Linked DNA regions of Rattus norvegicus. The protein of the gene in region 1 purifies or fractionates together with the protein of each later gene. This does not show direct contact. Links are inferred from orthologs where the notes say so. Each region holds a gene or a part of one and is shown in the gene's direction. Other genes may lie near its edges.

Region 1 (4,076 bases):
TTGGGGATTTAGCTCAGTGGTAGAGCGCTTGCCTAGCAAGCGCAAGGTCATAGGAAAAAAAAAAGTTGTTCTCTGACCTCCACATATGTGCTTTGGCTCATGTGTAGGCTCCTTCACATCCTACACGAAATTAATAACAATTAAGTAAATGTAATATATTTTATTTATTTTTTTATTCTTTTTTTCGGAGCTGGGGACCGAACCCAGGGCCTTGCGCTTGCTAGGCAAGTGTTCTACCACTGAACTAAATCCCCAACCCATTTATTTTATTTTTTAAGAGGACCTTCTTTTTATTATTATTATTTATTTTGTGTATGTGAGTATACTATAGCTTTCTTCAGACACACAAGAAAGGGCATCAGATCCCATTACAGATGGTTGTGAGCCACCATGTGGTTGCTGGGAATTGAACTCAGGACCTCTGGAAGAGCAGTCAGTGCTCTTAACCGCTGAGCCATCTCTCCAGCCCAAGAATATTTTTTTTTTTTGGTTCTTTTTTTCGGAGCTGGGGACCGAACCCAGGGCCTTGTGCTTCCTAGGCAAGCGCTCTACCACTGAGCTAAATCCCCAACCCCAAGAATATTTTTTTAAAAGAAGTTTGCTGAGCGTGTTGGTACATCCTTTAATCCCAGAATTTGGGAGGCAGAGGCAGGCAAATCTTTTTTTTTTAACTGTTGTTTTTGATTTTTTTTTTTTTTTTCGGAGCTGGGGACTGAACCCAGGGCCTTGCACTTGCTAGGCAAGAGCTCTACCACTGAGCTAAATCCCCAACCCTGTTTTTGATTTCTTGAGACACTGTTTCTCTGTAGAATTCTGGCTGTCTTAGAACTCTGTAGACTAGGCTGGCCTCAAACTCACAAAGATTCTTTACCTCTGAGTGATGGCACTACTCCCATCTTGACCCCCTTTCTTTCTTTCTTTCTTTCTTTCTTTCTTTCTTTCTTTCTTTCTTCCTTCCTTTCTTTCTTAAGACTTACTTATGTATATGAGAACACTGTCTTCAGAAACACCAGAAGAGGGCATCAGATCCCATTACAGATGGTTGTGAGCCACCATGTGGTTGCTGGGATTTGAACTTAGGACCTGTGGAAGAGCAGTCAGTGCTCTTAAAGATTTATTTATTTATTTATTTATTTATTTATTTATTTATTTAATGTATACGAGTACACTGTAGCTGTCTTCAGACACACCAGATCTCATTACAGATGGTTGTGAGCCACCATGTGGTTGCTGGGAATTGAACTCAGGACCTCTGAAAGAGCAGTCAGGGCTCTTAACCACTGAGCAATCTCTCCAGCCCGAGCAGTCAGTGCTCTTAACCACTGAGCCATCTCTCTAGCACCTTGGATCCCATTTCTTAAAGGTTCTACAATCTCCCACTAATGCCGTGAATTGGGGCCAGGCTTACAGCACGTGGGGAGACATTCAACATCCAAGCTGTAGGCTGGGGTTGTAGCTCAATAATGGAGTGCCCATTTAATGTGTGTGAGGTCCTGTGTTCAATTCCAAGTACTATAGAAGTAGATGATAGATAGATAGATAGATAGATAGATAGATAGATAGATAGATAGACAGACAGACAGACAAGCAGATAGACAGACAGACAGAGCAAGCCAGCTGTGGTGGTACATTTCTTTAATCCTAGCATTGGGAGGCTGAGGCAGGGTCTCTATAAGTTTGAGGCCAGCCTGGTCTACAGAGTGAGTTCCAAGATAGCCAGAGCCACACAGAGAAACCCTGTCTCAAAAACAAACAAACAAACAAACAAACAACAACAGAAAAAAAAGAGAGAAAGAAAGAAAGAAAAGAGAAAAATCCAGTTTAGCATTAGCTTTGCTCTTAGGTTTCCAAAGCTTAGAGGCTGAGGTTCCGTCTGCCTTCCAGGAATGACCAACCCTGAAGTCATTCAGAACCTGGAAAAAGGCTACCGAATGGTGCGACCTGACAACTGCCCGGAAGAGCTGTACCACCTCATGATGCTGTGCTGGAAGGAGCGCCCAGAGGACAGGCCCACGTTTGACTACCTTCGGAGCGTTCTGGATGACTTCTTCACAGCCACAGAGGGCCAGTACCAGCCCCAGCCTTGAGGCCTTGCGGTCCCAAGATCCTCCCCTATCCCTCTGGAGTTCTTGTGCCCTATCCATGCGGCCTGTGCACACGTGGACTCCGACTCGGCACGTGAAGCCTGTGCGTGTGCCATACATAGCCGTTTTTGTCTCATACACACATCCGTAGTTATGTGGGTTCTACACATGTGCCTTATACCCATGGAACATGTGAGTCTAAGTCTTAGAGACCACCTAAGGTGTCTCTTTCCATTCCATTTTCTGAAACCACAGAGAGGAGAAGGCTTGTGATTGCTGCATGTGTCTGTCTACCACTGCCTTTCTGGGGGCCTCCAGGAAGGCCCTCCTTGTGGGCTGCCATCCAATCTAATGTCTCTGTGTGCTGTGCCTTGGTGGTACCACACACCAGGAGCTCAATAAAAGTCTGTTCAATTAAGGCTGTACAGTTTTCTACCGCACACTTCATTTCTTTGTGGCAGATAGTGGGGGGGTCGGATGAGAGAGACTGGGGTTGCTGGTGGACCACCTGGCCTAGGTTCTCTTGCTGTGATCGCTACAGGCTGTTTCTCCTGTAATGTAAGTGTGTCTCCACTGAACAAGGGAAGCACCATTACCATGTAAAACATGGTGTGAAGCCCTGGTGGTTGGGAGTCAACCCCCCGGAGACTGGGGAGTCCCTACACATACCATGCACACCACCGGAGTTAAACAAGAATAGTTTATTGAGTGCATACCATAATACTGGATGTCCAGGTCCTCAAGAGGGAAAAACATAATTGTGACACTAGTCTGCTCTCAGAGTAGACTTTTTATAGGAAAAAACCAGGTTCAAAAGTTTAAAGGGGGCTGGAGAGATGGCTCAGCGGTTAAGAGCACCCGACTACTCTTCTCGAGGTCCTGAGTTCAATTCCCAGCAACCACATGGTGGCTCACAACCATCTGTAAAGAGATCCGATGCCCTCTTCTGGTGTGTCTGAAGACAGCTACAGTGTACTTATATATGATAAATGAATAAAAAAATTTAAAAAAAATTTAAAAAAAAAGTTTAAAGGGCAAGGAGAAACAGTTGGTTTCCTAGGCAAAGTCTTATCAGCTAACCTTTAAGCTGATTGGTCCTGAGTAAGGTAAGGGAGGGGGGTCGATGGGTAGGGAACGGGAGGATTTCGGAACATTGAGATAACAGAGCATGAGTTTTATAATCATAACTTTTTAGCTTATTAGTAGCATTCTTTGGTGTCAGCGACAAAAACAAAAACAAAAACAAAACAACAACAACAACGAACCCGGAAGAGATTTCTTTTTTTTTTTTTTTTTTTTTTGGTTCTTTTTTTCGGAGCTGGGGACCGAACCGAGGGCCTTGTGCTTCCTAGGTAAGCGCTCTACCACTGAGCTAAATCCCCAACCCCTAAGGAAGAGATTTCTAAGTTTGACACCATCCTGGTCTACAGCACAAGTTTTAGGACAGCCAGGATTACATGGAAAAGCCGTGTCTCAGACACCAGCGGAGAAAAAAAAAATCTATACAGAGAAACAGTTTGTGGACCAGACAAAGACAGCGCTTGAGATAAGGGTTAACTCTCTTTGTGGATTTATTTTTGTGTCTGTAAACGTTTTGCCTGCAAATATGTCTGCGTACCATGTGCATGTCTAGTGCCCTCAGAGGTCAGAATTCAGAATCGGATGTCAGAAATGGAGTGAGGGGTGGTTGTGTGCCACCATGGAGATGCTGGGAATGGTCTTCCGTGAGAGCAGCCATGCTCCTAACAGCTGAGCCATAGCTCTAAACTACCATTTCATTTTTTAAAAAATGTGGTGTGTGTGTGTGTGTGTGTGTGTGTGTGTGTGTGTGTGTGAGAGAGAGAGAGAGAGAGAGAGAGAGAGAGAGAGAAGCTGGAGAGATGGCTCAGCAGTTAAAAACACTGACTGCTCTTCCAGAAGTCCTGAGTTCAAATCCCAGCAACCACATGGTGGCTCACAACCATCTGTAATGGGGTCTGACGCCCTCTTCTG
Region 2 (5,756 bases), about 200 kb from region 1:
TGAGCCACCATGTGGTTGCTGGGAATTGAACTCAGGTCCTCTGGAAGAGCAGTCGGTGCCCTTAACCACTGAGCCATCTCTCCAGCCCTGTTAATAGATATTTTTTAAAGTTTTGCTTAGATCTTAATTTTTTGTCTGTGCACATGTGTGTATTGTTCCATGGCACACACGCATAGATCAGGGGACAGCTTTTGAGAGTCAGTTTTCTCCTCCCAGCATGTGGTCTTGGAGATTGACTCAGATCATCAGGCCTGACAACAGTCTAAGCAGCTTAGCCATCTTGACGTCTCTGCCTCAGACTGTTCATGGGAGAGATTTGGGCTCCATCTGCATACATCACCCCAGGATGAAGGGAATACCCTGGAGACTGTGAGGTATTAGAGCAGTAGTGTCTGTCTCATGGTGATTTGTGTCCTGTTGTTCCAGCATTCTGAAGATTAAGACTGAATTGCTGTGAGTTGAAAGCTACCCTGGGGTTTCAGAGTGAGTCCTGGGACAGCCAGGACTCTACGGTGAAAATGTTAAGGGAAGAAAACGCGTTTGTCTTTTTGAGAGAGGGCAATAGGATCCGTAGTGAAAGACTAGCATTCATACCAGTAGTAGGAGCTCTGAGAACTAGACAGCCAACATGGTCTAAGACTGGGCCCGTACTCACTGTTTTACAGAATAAACGGAAGGTGGCAACAGAATGCTTCAGTCTAACCCGTGCTAGGACTGTGTGTATGCCAGCGACCTGAGAAGCTTCTTAGTTTGCTTTTGGGGGACAGGGTGTCCCTTCGATATCCTAGGTGGCCTGGAGCTGTGTATGTAGGCCAGACTTGTCTCAAACTTGAGGTAATTCTGTGGCTCTCCCTCCTCAGAACACTATGAAGGATAACCACCTCATTCCCTTAGTAGGGGTAGACGTGAAGGCCACTATGTGCATGTAGAGGTCAAAACTTGGGAGAATTGGTTCTCTCCTATTTTGGGCCAGGGGATAGAACTCAGGTTGATGATAGTTTTTCCCCCAATGAACTAAGTCAATTCAAGACGAATTAAAAAAATAAAAAAGGCATGTTTATTTGGGAATGGGCTCCCAGGCGAGACCACCAGCCTCAGAGTACCGGAATAAATCAGGGGCAGACTATGGCTGGTAAGTTTTCAATAAGAGTGTAGGCAATAAAAATGATGTGTCTACCACAGGCTGGGCTGGGGTCATCAAGGGAGAGGGAGAGATTTGGGTAGCTGGTGACTTCAGATGAGGTGGATTAGGACAGTCAAGAATTCGGGACTGGGTTTTTTGGCGCCTTTTTCTGTTCTGAGGCTTTCTAAGTGGGCGGGGTTGGAGGGAGAGAGAGAGAAAATTGGAATTTACTGGGGGTAGGGGAGCTGGGGACTCCAACCAAACAGGTGACAAACAGTATTGCCAGTTGTTCTGGCCCCAAATGTATCTTTTAATAATTCTCTCACCAAATTTGAACCTGCTCTAATAGAAATCTTGGTGTCTGACTTCCTGGATGCTCTACTTGGGAATGGAGGGAGCCCTTTTTTTCCGTTGTTTGCGTCTCTGACTGACCCCTTCTGAGTTTCAGTTCTGCAATACATAGCATTTAGTCTTCTATTTCCCATTCCTGGCTTCCCTTTCTCACACCCACCCGGGGTCAGCCTCTCCCAGCATCCCCATCTTCCCATCCCGTTCGCGCAGTCTTTCCCTCTCTTTCGGCCTCGCTTTGCTCTAATCCTCGCGTTCCCCTCTCTCCAGAAGCGTTCCTTTCATTTCCTTGCTGGAGAGGCGGCCCCCGAACCACACAGCAGCACCGTTCCCCCGGGACCTCCCCAGGCTCGGCCGTTGAAGGAGGCGTGGCCCACGAATAACAGGTCTCCTGCCGCACACTCCGCGGGCCCGAGCGCAGACAAAGACATTCCACGGCGCCCGCCCCCTCCGCGCACTCCGCCCGAGGGAGGGGGAGGGGAGACACGTGTACCGCTAGCGCCGGGTCACGTGGAAAAGGAAAAGAAACGAACGAAGGCGGCCGGCGTCTGCGCAGGCGCAATAAACTCGGAGCCTGAGTGGGGAGGCTACGTCTTCAGTCGGCGCAGGCGTCGTGGCCCAACTGGGGACTTTGTTCTCCGCGGAGAAACTCAAGGGCGGTGCCGGTAGGCGCCTGCGCACGCGCGCCGCCTCATTTCCGGTGCTCTCTCGCTGGGTCGCTCGGGTCGGCTTCGGTCGCTGTCGCTCCCGTTCTTCCACCCCCGCCAACCGCCGCTCGGGCCTCAGCGCCGTCGCGTCGCTTCCTCGCTCGCTCGCCACACATCATTCCTGATGCAGCGCCGGGACGACCCTGCCGCGCGCCTCACCCGGTCCTCGGGCCGCAGCTGCTCCAAGGACCCGTCAGGTGCCCACCCCTCGGTGCGTCTGACCCCGTCTCGGCCGTCGCCGCTTCCTCACCGGTCCCGGGGAGGCGGAGGTGGGCCCAGAGGAGGCGCTCGGGCCTCGCCCGCTACGCAGCCGCCGCCGCTGCTGCCTCCCTCTAATCCGGGTCCCGACGCGACTGTGGTGGGTTCCGCGCCGACCCCGCTACTGCCCCCGTCAGCCACAGCCGCGGCCAAGATGGAGCCGGAGAATAAGTACCTGCCTGAACTCATGGCTGAGAAGGACTCGCTCGACCCGTCCTTCACTCACGCCATGCAGCTGCTGTCCGTAGGTAAGCGGGTCTTGGCGTACTTTGGGGTCTCCCGGTACCGGCGGTGGGTGGCCGCCGCTTTGTTCTTGCTCCCGCCCCCTCGGAGCCCAGGCATCGAGAGTGCTCATCTCGACCTAGCCTTAGAGATTCTGCACCCTCAGTCCCACCCCGGATCAGGGTATAAGGGGAGGTTTCGGAACCGCGGTCGAGGCCCGAAGAGGACTCGCGATCTCCGAGCGCGGAGAGGTTGATGGATAGTACCGTGCTCCCGCCCCCTTCTCCTCCGGTAGTAGTTGCCCCGCGCGCCAAGGACCAGCTCTTACCAGAAATGAACCTACTTCTCCCAGCTTTCCCAAAGAGAAAACAATTTGGGGAGGCGGGGTCGCGGGTGGTGGAGAGTGCCTTGACCTGGGTTGTAAAGGTAAAAACTGCCGGAATGCCGGTCCCGCGCGGCGCCTCTACGGAGCGGTGCTGCGGGATTTAGCGGGAACTCGGGTTTAAGTTCATCAGAGGTCGGGGCGACCAGAGAATCCCGGAGCTTGAGGTTTTCTCAAGCAAAGTTTTCCGTTTCGGCCTGTCGAATAAGAATTGCTACAGACCCGGATGGTTTTCTCTCCTTTATTTTAAAATGTGTTTTTGAAGTTATGCAAATGGGGAAATGATGGAGGTAAGGGACGGCAGGTTCTTTTGCGGGAGATGAACGAGAAATTAGTCTTTTTGTTTTAGTTCTTGCTTGAGTAGAGATAGTTTAAGAATGGTAGCCTTTGTTCTCTGCTTGTAGACTAGTGAGCCCTCTTCTCTTGACTTGAGCGACTTAGACATTTTTCTTATTCAAACCGCCTATTGGACCCTCACTTGTAGTTAGACATGGTTTTTAGTAAGTATTTTTTTATGATATCTAAATTTTAGATATCACAGTCTGTCTCACTGATTGAATAGTTGGAGTTTTGTGGGGCAGATGGAACCTTGTTACCAGACAAAAACTGGAGAGGTTGAGCGGATTCAGAAACCCACTCTTGACCTGGTAACTGTCCTGGACCTTGGTAACACTTGACCAAGACACCCCATGGAGAGTCTAACCTCTCAGTCCAAGCCAATAGAAAGCGTCTGCTTTTAGACCCCAACCCACTCCAAAATATATATTCGACCCTATCCACGAGGAATAAAGTTATTTCATCAAAGACCGTCTGAGAGATTGACAGACTCTGGCCAGAATGGTACTGTGGACAGGTCATTGTGAAAATACCATTATCTAATGGAGAGGTGGATCAGCGGTTAATAGCACTTTCTGCTCTTCCACAGGGGTTCAGTTCCCAGCGCCCACATCAGGTGGCTCTCAGACACCTGTAACTTCAGCACTGGGGGACTGATGTTCTCTTTTGTCCTACAGAGGCACTCAAAATACAAATCCGAAAAGAAATAAAAGGAAAATACCATTTTCCTTCATCTGTTCTCTGTCTCCCAGCGTTGTTGAAGGGGCTTTACCGTTTGTACAATGCAAAAAGGTCGTGGATGGACAATGACTTTAAAGACCTGCTTTTCTTTCCAGTCAAATGGAAAAATAAGTGAGGACCTTTGAAGCACAGTAAACCAAACTTGTGGTCAGTAAATAGAAACATCAATTGTTTGCATTTCAGCTCAGGACCTTCATTCTGTAACACGCAGGTTCTTATGTTTTTGTTCTTTTGTTCTGACAACTTAGTTACTGTAAGGATTTTTAACCCCCCCCCCTTTTTTTTTTAAATGAGGCAGGTCTCAAGTAGCTGAGGCTGGGTATTTACATATATCTACATTTATATATAGCCCTTTGTGACCTGGAACTTGTGGTCCTTTTCCTCCAGGGTTTGGGAGGTGTGCCCCACCACATTCAGTTTGTGCAGTGCCTAGGATCAGGCTTAGTACTCTACTAACTTATCTACATTTTCAGGCCATTATCTTTTATATTTTTTTATACCGGCTTGCAAATAGCAAACACCTGTGTTTGATTGACTTTGATAAGTGCCTGCCGACTGAAGAATATCACTATGAAAGGTTGACTTGGTAGTCTTATTTTTATTTCCTCAAATCTTTATAACCTGTCAGGTTAATTGCTAAAGAGTTATATCAGGTCGAAGATGTTAACTTTGGAAACTGACTGTTAACTAGTTACTTGGTCCTGAGAAACTAACTCTGCAGTGTCATCTGTGCAGTGGTGAGTGTGAGATCTAGGTTGTGTGTAAAATCAGCCAGTTACCTCTGACCTGTACTCACCAAACAAAATGTCACCATCGTTTTCTTCTGCTTATAAATTCCTATATACACAGGGCATAGTTTGGCCTTTCTGACTTCAAGTGCAGGTGATCATTCTTTTTTCAACAGGGTTTTTTTTTTTTTAAATTTTTTTTTTTTTTTTTTTTTGGTTCTTTTTTTCGGAGCTGGGGACCGAACCCAGGGCCTTGCGCTTCCTAGGTAAGCGCTCTACCACTGAGCTAAATCCCCAGCCCCTTAAATATTGTTTTTAAATGTTTCTTTTAGCTCTGCAGTCACAGGTTTAACTTCAGTGTGGTTACTAAGAGAAAACACTTTAATTTTTAAAGTTGGGTCTTTTTTGCTTTTGCCTTATTTATATTTTTAAATTTTTCTTTATTAATTTCTATGTGCATGGGTATTTTGCCTGTATGTCTGACTGTGAGGTTTTCAGATCCCCTGGGTGTGGAGTTAATAGACCACTGTGAGCTACCATCTGGGTGCTGGGAATTGAACCCAGGTCCTTTGGAAGAACAGCCAGTGCTCTTAACTGCTGAGCCATCTTCCAGGCCCCAGTTTTTATTTTTGTTGTTTTTTATTGTTTTGGTTTTTTGTTTGTTTTTGAGCTAGGGTCTAACTATGTAGACTAGGCTGTCCTCAAACTTAGAGCTACCTGCCTCTGGATGGCTGAGAAGACAATCCTATTACCAGTACAGATGAGGAGATAAAAGGCAAACATGATAGTTGACTAAACAACAAAATTAGCAACATCAACAGGACTTACAGTCAATCTACATTTGGTTCACACACTTAACTCCTTTTTCCCTCCAATAGCTAAAAGGTTCTTCCTTGCTCCCTCATTATACA
Region 3 (4,413 bases), on another chromosome or scaffold:
CCGGGAGTTCAAGGCCAGCATCTGCCGAGTAGTGAGTTTGAGGTTAGCTAGGCGACATGGAACCCTGGCTTAAAAAAAAAACGGTGACAAAAGAGTGGTAAGGGTTAGACCATGAACTAACTCCCTTAGGCAACGCTTAGCTCTCCTGGCTTCCTTCTGAGCCCAGGACTCTCCTTGCCTCATCCCTGTGGCACCTGCTGTGCCCACCGCATCCTTTCTGTGTTCTTTTCTCTAAACCAGAGAGCACTTTATTCCTGAGGTTGGCTCAGGGCCAGGGCTGGAAAGATGACCTCTAAGGGTTCCCTCTGTTTGCTAAGACTTCCTCCCATCGGGAGATCAGCCGAGGATCTGTGGGGCAGCGCAGGCCCCTTGTGTCCCAGGGCTTCCTTGCCTGAGTACGCAGAGCCCTATAAGCTGCTTAAGAGAGCTGGGTTAGTGTAAGCTGCTTACAGTGGGGGAGGGGCGGGGCGGGGCAGCAGGGAAGGGTACCAGCCTGCCCCGATACAGCCCATGCAAGGGAAAGTTCCCCTCAAATCAGCCTTGCCTGACACCTAGATGTCACGCCCCAGGGTTGTGTGTGGTGAGGGTGGGGCGCACGCCCAGGAAGAACTGTAACTCTCCTCCCCCGAGAGCTGCATGCTCCCTTTGGAGTGAAGTCCCCCTCATGCTGGAAGCTTCCACTAGGCAGGAGGTCCAGTTGTCCGAAGGATGCATGCCAACCTTGCAAAGCCGAGGTTGAAATAAGGATTGCCAAGAGGGTGGGAGGGTCGGTATGGTGGAGGTGACTTGCCTTGCCTCTGAGGCCACTAGGATCGTCCCTGTTCATCCTTGACTATAACAAAATTCTGTCCCCTGCACTGTGGGGGCTTCTCCAAGACAGGGGCCCACCAAAACTGAATCCACAGTGGGTGTTTTGGGGTCCCTGTTTGCTCAGCTGCCTGTCTCCCATAGACTACCTGTGCTCCCCTGAGGAAAATATCTACAAGATTGACTTCGTCAGGTTCAAGATCCGGGACATGGACTCAGGGACTGTTCTTTTTGAAATCAAGAAGCCCCCTGTTTCCGGTGAGTGGGATTGGAGCACCATTGAGAGGAAAAGGTGGGCAAGCACAGTGGAGCGGGCTGTCTAGGTTCTTTGAGCCACAGAGCACAGTCCAGACTTGAACTTCAGCACACTCAGGTGTCTGTGGGCAGACAGGCCTCTTCTTTTTTCTGCCACTGTTTCTCAGGGTGGACATATTGGGAGCATTGCCCTGTTTAAGTACTGGTCAGCCTGTCCTCTGCTGGCCTCCCTAGGAACTGCAGCCCCTAAGTCCTCCCATAATCCTATGCACACCCTATGGCTCTGGGAACCCCTGAACACTGGTGACTTGTTGATCTAGAACCCTGTAGGTACCACTCTTCAACAAAAGTGTACCAGAATCTCCTGAAGAGTTTAGAAACGTTTGAACAGAGGTCCTTGGGGGAGGGTGGAGTAGGCAAAGGCCCCAGCCTGAAGCCCACTGAGCCCAGCTGGGGTACATTACAGAACGGTTGCCCATCAACCGGCGGGACCTGGACCCCAATGCAGGGCGCTTTGTTCGATACCAGTTCACACCTGCCTTCCTCCGCCTAAGGCAGGTGGGAGCCACGTGAGTCACTGGGCTGGGGTGAGGGCTGGGGGGCGAGTGTGAGGGTGGGAACAGCCCCCTTCCAGAGCCTCTCGGTGGCAGTCTGCCTGGAGCCTTGGAGCCTGGAGTCCCTTGGCTGGCTGGCTGGATGGTTGGTGTGGAAGCTACTCAGCTTTGCCCGCTTCTCTTAACTCAGGGTGGAGTTCACAGTGGGAGACAAGCCGGTCAACAACTTCCGCATGATTGAGAGGCACTACTTTCGAAACCAGCTCCTCAAAAGCTTCGACTTCCACTTTGGCTTCTGCATTCCCAGCAGCAAGAACACCTGTGAGCACATCTATGACTTCCCGCCTCTCTCCGAGGAGCTAAGTGAGTGGAGATGTGGAGAACCCAGGCTCAGTGTCGGGAGGTGGGGGGTGGTACCTGTGCATCTGGTCCCCGTGCACCTACCCTGCATCACTTTCTTACCTGGCGCCACTCCTGTGTCACCAGGAGGGAAACAGGCTCAAAGAGGCTGAGGAACTCTCTGAAGTGGTTCATCTGTCCCTGCCTCCCTCTCTCCCAGTTCTAAAGTCCCAAAGGGTCTGGCTCAGGGTCCTGACCTTTGCCCTGGGTGGACCTCTCTTGCAGTCAGTGAGATGATTCGTCATCCGTATGAGACACAGTCTGACAGCTTCTACTTCGTGGATGATCGGCTGGTGATGCACAACAAGGCAGACTATTCCTACAGCGGGACCCCCTGACCTCCAACACTGCCCCTGAGGCTCTGGCCTGGACCCTGTGCTGTGACCTCTCCAACACTGTCTCTATTTGGGGATGGTTCCAGTGGCTCTGGACCCTGAGTCAGTCTTGAGAGGAAGGTTCCCCAGCATCCCTAGGCAAGCCTCTGAAGCTTGTGGGAGGGACAGCTCGGGAGACTGTCCCCATGTTCAGGAAGGCCTCCTGCAAGAGGAGGACTTCCGGATGCCTCACTAGGTCCACTGGGCCTGAGTTTCAGAGTAGTGTTCCCTTCTTGACTGTGACTAGATCAGGTTAGGGATCCGTTCCCTGTCCCTTGCCCACCACCTCCAGGGTGTTTATAGTTCACAGACAAAGATCCACATTGGGTACCCTGGTCTCAGTCCTGGCCTCCTCCATCAGGGGCCAAGAAACTGCCCGAGGTGTGAGCGGGGTGGGTCCAGATTGCAACCTGTAGGACCTGGACAAACTGTATATAGTTTTCAATAAACCTTTTCTGTTCTTGGGTGTGGCCAGCCTGTGTGTCTATAGGGAAAGGCAGGGGTGGAGTGGAGTAGGAGGGGTTCGTGTTCGTTGCTTTTTATCATGACAAAAGTACACGAGAAAATCAACTTAGAAGAGGTAAGATTTACTTTCAGTTCAGAGGTTTCAGTCCATGGCTGCCACATGGCCCTGTCACTGGGGACCCTCTGGTGAGGGAGAGCGACATGGTAGGGGAAAAGTGGGCTGGGGCAGAACTGCTCACCTGGGAGCAGAAGCAGAGAGAGAGAGACAGACAGAGTGAGAGAGCACAATATACCAAGAATAAGGTCAGAACAGGATACCCCTTGCAAACATTCGGTCCATCTCCCCCATCTAGGCCCTTACGATCACTCGATATCGCCACTAGCTGGGGACCTAAGCCTTTGAGGGGAGTGTTTATATCCAACCACACTGATCAAGAGAATAAGAACCCTCACTTCCCAGTGCCTTCTGGCCAGGGGGTCTTCCCTGGCCTCAGATTCTCAACATCTAAGTGAGTATTTAGGGTGTGGTTCAAGCTAGGATTCCTCCTGTGATGGAGACCCAGGGTCTTTGGTATAAAGGTAATGACTTGACAGCAGACACTGGAGCAAAGACCATCAGCTCAGGATGGGGAAGGAAGAGATACAGGGAGGTGGCTTTGTTTTCCACTTCCTCTGACCCCCAGAGGCCACTCCTAAGTGCCCTCATCAGAGAAGGGCAGGACTTTGGCTAGCCCTAGCGCCATCTCCCTGCACTTAGCTGCCTTGCAGCCCCCTCTAGTCTGGCCAGTCCTGTGCATAATATTTCTGTTAGCCTCTCACCCCTCCCAGGTCCCTCTTTTAGTGGAGGAAATTCAAGAACTGAAGGAGGAGGAGGCTAGCTTAGGGTTAGCAGTCTGATGCTGCAGGTTCTCTTTTCCATATACCAAACCAGCCTAACCCAGGCTGAGCAGCCCCAGAATGCCATAGAGCTCTGGCTGAGGGCCAGGATCTCTACTGAACTTTGGGAATTCTAATGTATGTGTCTGTATCTCCATGTGTAGGCGGGGTGCATGTTTGTAAAGGACAAAGGTCAACACTTTCCAGAGCATCTGATGTTCTCTGGGGTACACATGCAGACTAAACACTCATACACATAAAATAAATATTTTTTTAAAAAAAATTTTAGGTCCTTTTGTTTGAGGGGCAAACACTGAACTGACTGAGCTGTCTCCAGACTCTTCAACTGAGAACTTCTTTGTTTGCATAAGTGTGTTGTATGTGGACCTGTGTATGTTCATGTGTGGGTATGTGCATGTGTGTGGAGGCCAGAGGCTGACAACAGGGGTCTTCCTCAGTTGCTTTCCACTTTCCTTACTGAAGGAGGGTCTCTGGATGAGCCAAGAGCTTGCGGATTTGACTAGGCTAGCGAGCCAGCTTGCCTTGGAGACCACCTGTCTCCATGTCCCTCAAACTGGGAGTCTGACCTCCACACTTAGCTTTAATGTAGATGCTGGGACTCTGAACTCCAGGCTTCATGTTTGTGTGGCACTTTATCCACCGAGCCCTCTCAGCTCTCCTGC
Region 4 (5,572 bases), on another chromosome or scaffold:
CCACTCGCAGCTTCAGGACCTGCTTCAACACTACACAGAGTGCCCCCTCAGCCCCTACGGGGAGATGCTCACCCAACCCCTTGCTCGCCAGGTGAGCCTTTACCCAAATTCCATAACTGAATGTCATCGTCGCCGCCACCCCTACCAAGTCCAGGTTACTGACCTCTCTGTCTTTCTCATCCCAATCCACGATCGGCCACACTGACTTACCCACACCTCTTCCAGAAAGGTGTCCTTTCACGACCAGACCAGCCACAAAGAACAGGGTACGGAGAGGCAGAGAGGCAGTCAAGTTAAATTAAGCAAAGTTTACTTAGTCTCCAGAGCAGGGCTGAGAGGGAGAGATTCTGTCAATAAACCTGTGGCCAAGACAGATGGGCATCTCGCTCACAAACCTTACTACAGTAGCAACGACAGACAGTGGCTACGATAGACCCTACTTAGCTTGACAGACGTCAGGGACCTTCAAAAAGTGCAGGCGCTTCAGACCACTGTGTATTGAGAGAAATAGGTTAAACACGGAGGAAATAAACAGTCGCGATTTATATCTATCTCCTGGCCTTCACAAGGCATCTATTCTAAGATAAGGCAGATGCCGTAAGTGACACAGAGAACACGTTGATAACAGGAAGGGTGAGTGCTAGGAAGAAAGCCAAGCAGAGATGGAGAACAACAGGATAGGAGAACAACAGACACAGCAGAGAAGCTAAGGGACATCTGAGCAGAGCCCTGAATGGTGTCAGAGGGAGCTGTGCAGACAGCTGGAGAAAAAGCACTTGGCGTGGAAGTGACAGCAGGGGCAAAGGCCCTGATGGGGGAGGATGTCTGAGGTGTCTGAGGACTGAGCAGTGAGGAAGCAGCCTCACTGTGAGCAGAAGTGAGGATCAGGATGATGGATGGACAGAGAGGTTGGAAGTGAGGTCAGAAGGGAGACGTAAGGGGGCCCTGTGGCTCTTACAAGGCTCTAAGGTTTTATTCTGAATAAGATTTAATTACATCGATGAGTTAGAAGCAAGGGCCTCACCTGACAAGGTCATGAGGGTCCAACAAGGCTGCAGGAGGTGAAGACTACAATGTTTCAGAGAGCCTCCGCTCTCTGGGGTGTGGGGAGTGGGGTAATGGGGTGTGAAGGGGCGTTAGGGCCAAACAAGGCCACCCGAGATGGAAACTGCGGTTGCGTCAGGGTTTCAGAAGTTGATGGGCCTGGCTAGCACAGGGGAAGTCGAAGGAGTAAGAGAGGGCCTGTGGGCTGTTTAGAGTGTAGGGTTGACAGGGTCTTTGCAGAACAAACAAGGAACTGGGAAGACGTTTAGATGAAGGAGCCTGTCTGAACCAGGTGTGGAAATATTTGTAGTTTGAGTTGTCAAGTAGGAAGCTTCGGGCTCAGAAATAGCTGGAGGGGCTTGTCTAGCTCCAGGCTACAATTTCAGTCACCAGCTCCACAGGAGAAAACAGGAAAAGGCAATGGGAATCTGTAGGACTGAATCCAGTCTGGAAAAAGGGTCAGAACAGGAACTAGGTCCAGCACAATCAAACTTGAAGGTCTGGAACCTTCTTGAGCAGGAAGCCCTGGCATGGGCTAGAGAGACTGGGCAAAGAGACTGCAGAATGGTGAGAGTGGGAACCAGTGGGGATGTGTGTGCACCTGAACGGTGGTGCTGGCTGCATGTGGGCTCAGAGAAGATGTAACCCATTGTCGGGGGACAGAGGACAGCTTGTGTTGGGTTTGATGAAGGAGGAGGGTGAGGTATTGACGCTGACTTCCCTGCTGTTCGGGCATCAGGGTGAGTCTACTGCTTTCTCAAGGAGAGGTGAAATACAGGGTAGACACAGGAGAAAGAATTCTCATCTGGATCTAGGAAGCCAGACGCAGAGGGCATGTGGAGCCCTGCGTGAGGCTAGCCTTAATGCTGTGCTAAAAACATAACTACCACGGAGCAGTTAGAAGGGAAGGTTTGTCTCTCCTGAGTGGTCTCTGCCCCCAAACACGAAGCTTCTATCTTCATACATTAAGCTTCTTGAGCCTGAAGAAGTAAGGGCCAGCAGTTATGGAGGTTGGTTCCCGGAGGCAAAAACTCCCAAAGCCTAAAGCCTCCCAATTTTATGCAACTGTAAGTACAGATGAGACAGTCTTGGCCCTCATTCCAGACGGTTCATTGTTAGACACACCTGTGAACAGAGTTTGCTTCCGTCCACAGTTCCCAGGCCCCCTCAACACCCACCCCCTCTATCACACAGAGAACCCGGCACACACACACACACAAACACACACACACACCATACACACACCACACACACCACACACACACACACACACACACACACCATACACACACACACCACACACACACCACACACACACACCACACACACACCACACACACACACACCACACATACACACACACCACACACACACACACCACACACACACACACACCACACACACACACCACACACACACACCACACACACACCACACATACACACACACCACACACACACCACACATACACACATACCACACACACACACCACACACACACCACACACACACCACACACACACCACACACACACACCACACATACACACACACACTCACACACACCACACACACACACACCACACATACACACACACACCACACACACCACACACACCACACACACACACCACACACACACACACCACACACACACACCACACATACACACACACCACACACACCACACACACACACACACCACACACACATACACACACCACACACACACACACACCACACACACACACACCACACACACATACCACACACACACACACACCACACATACACACACACACCACACACACCACACACACACACGCCACACACACATACACACACCACACACACAACACACACACACACACACACACACACACACACACACACACACACACACACACACTGTCTCCCCCACCCTCTCAGACCTAATTGCTTTTCCTGGATCGCTTGTCGCCAACCGCCCCAACCCTGCATCCTCCTTCTTTTCCTGCAGACAGCTGAGCCTGCCGGTCTTTCCCTAAGGGGTGAATCAGACTCTGGAAGCAGAAGACAGGACCCAGACACCCAGCACAGCCTGTTCATCCAACAGGGGCAGGCCCATGCCCAGGCCCCAGGACATAAAGAGAAAGTGAGGGCCTCCCAACAGAAGAAGGTACTGTATTGATCAAGTCAGCCTGGGGATGGGGGGGGGGGGAGTGTCAGGGCATGGAGAGGGAACACAGGACGGAGGGAGAGGTCAGGAAGGGAAGGCTCTCATGGGTAGAGGCTCAGGCTGTGATAGGCCTGGGCTTAGACCCTGTCTCCACAGTTCTCATTAATTCTCTTCCCTGGCCTTGCCTTTTTCCCTAGACTTCCCAGGCATCCAGACCCAGGCCCCCCATTCCTGCCAAGCCTCAGCTACCTCTTGAAGTCTACACAAGTCCTGCTCCACGACCTCATCAGGCCCTACCCATTAACCCCGTCTACCAGGAGCCTGATGAACCCATAGCCTTCTATGCCATGGGGCGGGGCAGCCCTGGGGATGCTCCTAGTAATATCTATGCTGAGGTGGATGGCCCACGGGAAATGCTACCCATTGGGCACCCCACCCTCCATAAGTGCTGGTCCAGGCCTATCTCAGGAGGCCAGGGAAAGGGGGTACAGGGAAAGAAAAGCTCAAGAAGGCCAGCAGGAAGAGGGAGCCCCTCCTGAACGGCAGGCAAGGCGAAGGAAGAAGCAGGCTGAACCAAAATGGAATGGACCATGCTACTGAAAACCTTTGCCCAGCCCCAGGCCTGAGGTTGTTCCTGGACATGCACATGGACTCAGCTTTGTCAAGCTCTACCTGCCCCTACTCCTGAGAACATTAAAGGTGATGGGTTTCCTTCAACCTTTCTCCATCCCAGGCTGCCTCTTGTCAGTCAGGCCTTCCTCAGATACATGTGGCACTGATCCAGTTCCTCGGAGAAGAGCGCTTAGGAGCCCATGCATTGCCACCAGTGGGCTCAGAGGAGGAGGCCACCCATTGTGTGCTTGCCCTCACAGTTTCCCCCACAGATAGTTTCATGTCTGAATGTGGTATTAATATTAAATGAGTTGGACTCTTGCCCCTGTACCTGCCTCAGGTTCTTCCTCAGCCTTCCTTTCTGCTGCCACCAAAGACCCCTGCTGGGCCTTCGCCAGCTCAGTTCACCTGTGCCATGCCAGCTCCTGCCCTCTTAACCCTGGGTTCATCCAGGCTTTGCCAGGGTTCCAAAGCCACTCGAACATTGATTCAGCCAATCTCACTCCCACCCTACACACACACACACACACACACACACACACACACACACACACACACACACACCACACTGTCCACCTGTGTCCCATACCCTGACTGATTAGCTCCCAGCACCCAGCTATCCAGCCAGAAATGTAAGGTCCCTAAACATCTCCATCCTCTTTACTTCAATCTCTGTAGGTCAATAACGTCTGCCTTCTCCCCCGACCCATTCTAGTCCCTGCCATCTTCTCATCAAGACTTTTCTAAGAACAATGGGTTTTTTTGGTTGTTGTTGTCATTTTTGAGACTTGGCCTCACTGTGCAGCCGTAGTCTCCTAGAAGTCACTGTGGTATAGACAAGGGTGACTTAGCCTTTGTAGGTATCTGCTTGATTCAGCCTCCCAAAGAATGCTGGGGTGCTCAACACACCTGGCAAGGTCTCTTGCAGCCCAGGCTGGCTCCCACCTTACTGTGAAGCTGCTGAGGACCTTGAACTTCTGACCCTTTTGCCTCTTCCTCCTGAGTTCTGGGATTACAGCTGTGTACCACCAGGCAGCCCATACAGCGTGTGCGATCAAGACTGGGGCTTGGTACATGCTAGGCAAGCACTTTATTGTCTGAGCCACACCCCAATTTCTCTAAGAGTGGCTTAACTGCTCTCCTAGCACCAGGCTTGTCAGTTCTGACCCATTCTTCCCTGAGAAAGCAAAAATGGGCTTTCTGAGGCAGCCCTCCAGCTCTTCCTGACACCCCGGCGGGCCACTGGCCCATTATTCTTTATTTCTTCTCTCTCCCCTTCCTACTGAGCATGATGTCCTGGACACAGGCCTGGGGATACTCAGCTATGTCCAAAGTACTGGCCCAAATGCTTGACATGAAGCTGCCACAGGAAGGGAGGGGGAGGAGAAGAGGAGAGACGGAGGAATGGATGGAAACCTAAACCCCCACTGGAGGCCAAAGGGTTAAGACCTTCTAGAGACCATAGACCTGGCCCATGAACAGACCCAGGGAGGACAGACTGTCCAGAGCTGCATTCTGAGGAGCGTGTGGCAGAGCATGGTGGCCCTCTCCTTCCTCATCCCCTAGAGGCATGCACTTCTAGATAGGCGCTTCAGGACAGAGAGCATGCATGGCTCCCCTCAGGCCTCCGTAGGTGGTAAGTCTGATCCGGGAGGGTAACTTGGGGCGTTTTGTGTCCTAAGACCTTCACAGAGCCCTGGGTCCTTTCTTAGGGAAGGCAGGTGGAATAGACTCCAGGTGAGCAAAGCTCCTTCATCTG

Evidence for each region.
Region 2: the proteins of Lck (region 1) and Khdrbs1 purify together in Homo sapiens (affinity purification with western blotting; 5 studies listed by BioGRID and IntAct, with this or other methods). This does not show direct contact. The link is inferred for Rattus norvegicus from reciprocal best matches to the Homo sapiens genes LCK and KHDRBS1.
Region 3: the proteins of Lck (region 1) and Unc119 purify together in Homo sapiens (affinity purification with western blotting; 3 studies listed by BioGRID and IntAct, with this or other methods). This does not show direct contact. The link is inferred for Rattus norvegicus from reciprocal best matches to the Homo sapiens genes LCK and UNC119.
Region 4: the proteins of Lck (region 1) and Sh2d2a purify together in Homo sapiens (co-immunoprecipitation; 3 studies listed by IntAct, with this or other methods). This does not show direct contact. The link is inferred for Rattus norvegicus from reciprocal best matches to the Homo sapiens genes LCK and SH2D2A.

The regions. Positions count from the first base shown.
Region 1 is NC_086023.1:147,171,074-147,175,149, reverse strand, and holds the end of Lck (proto-oncogene tyrosine-protein kinase LCK), read left to right. Parts: intron 1-1,884; coding exon 1,885-2,087; 3' UTR 2,088-2,508; downstream 2,509-4,076. UniProt on the Homo sapiens protein: Non-receptor tyrosine-protein kinase that plays an essential role in the selection and maturation of developing T-cells in the thymus and in the function of mature T-cells. Plays a key role in T-cell antigen receptor (TCR)-linked signal transduction pathways.
Region 2 is NC_086023.1:147,369,917-147,375,672, reverse strand, and holds the start of Khdrbs1 (KH domain-containing, RNA-binding, signal transduction-associated protein 1), read left to right. Parts: upstream 1-2,224; 5' UTR 2,225-2,302; coding exon 2,303-2,684; intron 2,685-5,756. UniProt on the Homo sapiens protein: Recruited and tyrosine phosphorylated by several receptor systems, for example the T-cell, leptin and insulin receptors. Once phosphorylated, functions as an adapter protein in signal transduction cascades by binding to SH2 and SH3 domain-containing proteins.
Region 3 is NC_086028.1:63,738,550-63,742,962, forward strand, and holds the end of Unc119 (protein unc-119 homolog A), read left to right. Parts: intron 1-951; coding exon 952-1,065; intron 1,066-1,528; coding exon 1,529-1,631; intron 1,632-1,806; coding exon 1,807-1,979; intron 1,980-2,240; coding exon 2,241-2,353; 3' UTR 2,354-2,849; downstream 2,850-4,413. UniProt on the Homo sapiens protein: Involved in synaptic functions in photoreceptor cells, the signal transduction in immune cells as a Src family kinase activator, endosome recycling, the uptake of bacteria and endocytosis, protein trafficking in sensory neurons and as lipid-binding chaperone with specificity for a diverse subset of myristoylated proteins.
Region 4 is NC_086020.1:175,612,545-175,618,116, forward strand, and holds the end of Sh2d2a (SH2 domain-containing protein 2A), read left to right. Parts: coding exon 1-91; intron 92-3,042; coding exon 3,043-3,201; intron 3,202-3,398; coding exon 3,399-3,740; 3' UTR 3,741-4,141; downstream 4,142-5,572. UniProt on the Homo sapiens protein: Could be a T-cell-specific adapter protein involved in the control of T-cell activation. May play a role in the CD4-p56-LCK-dependent signal transduction pathway. Could also play an important role in normal and pathological angiogenesis.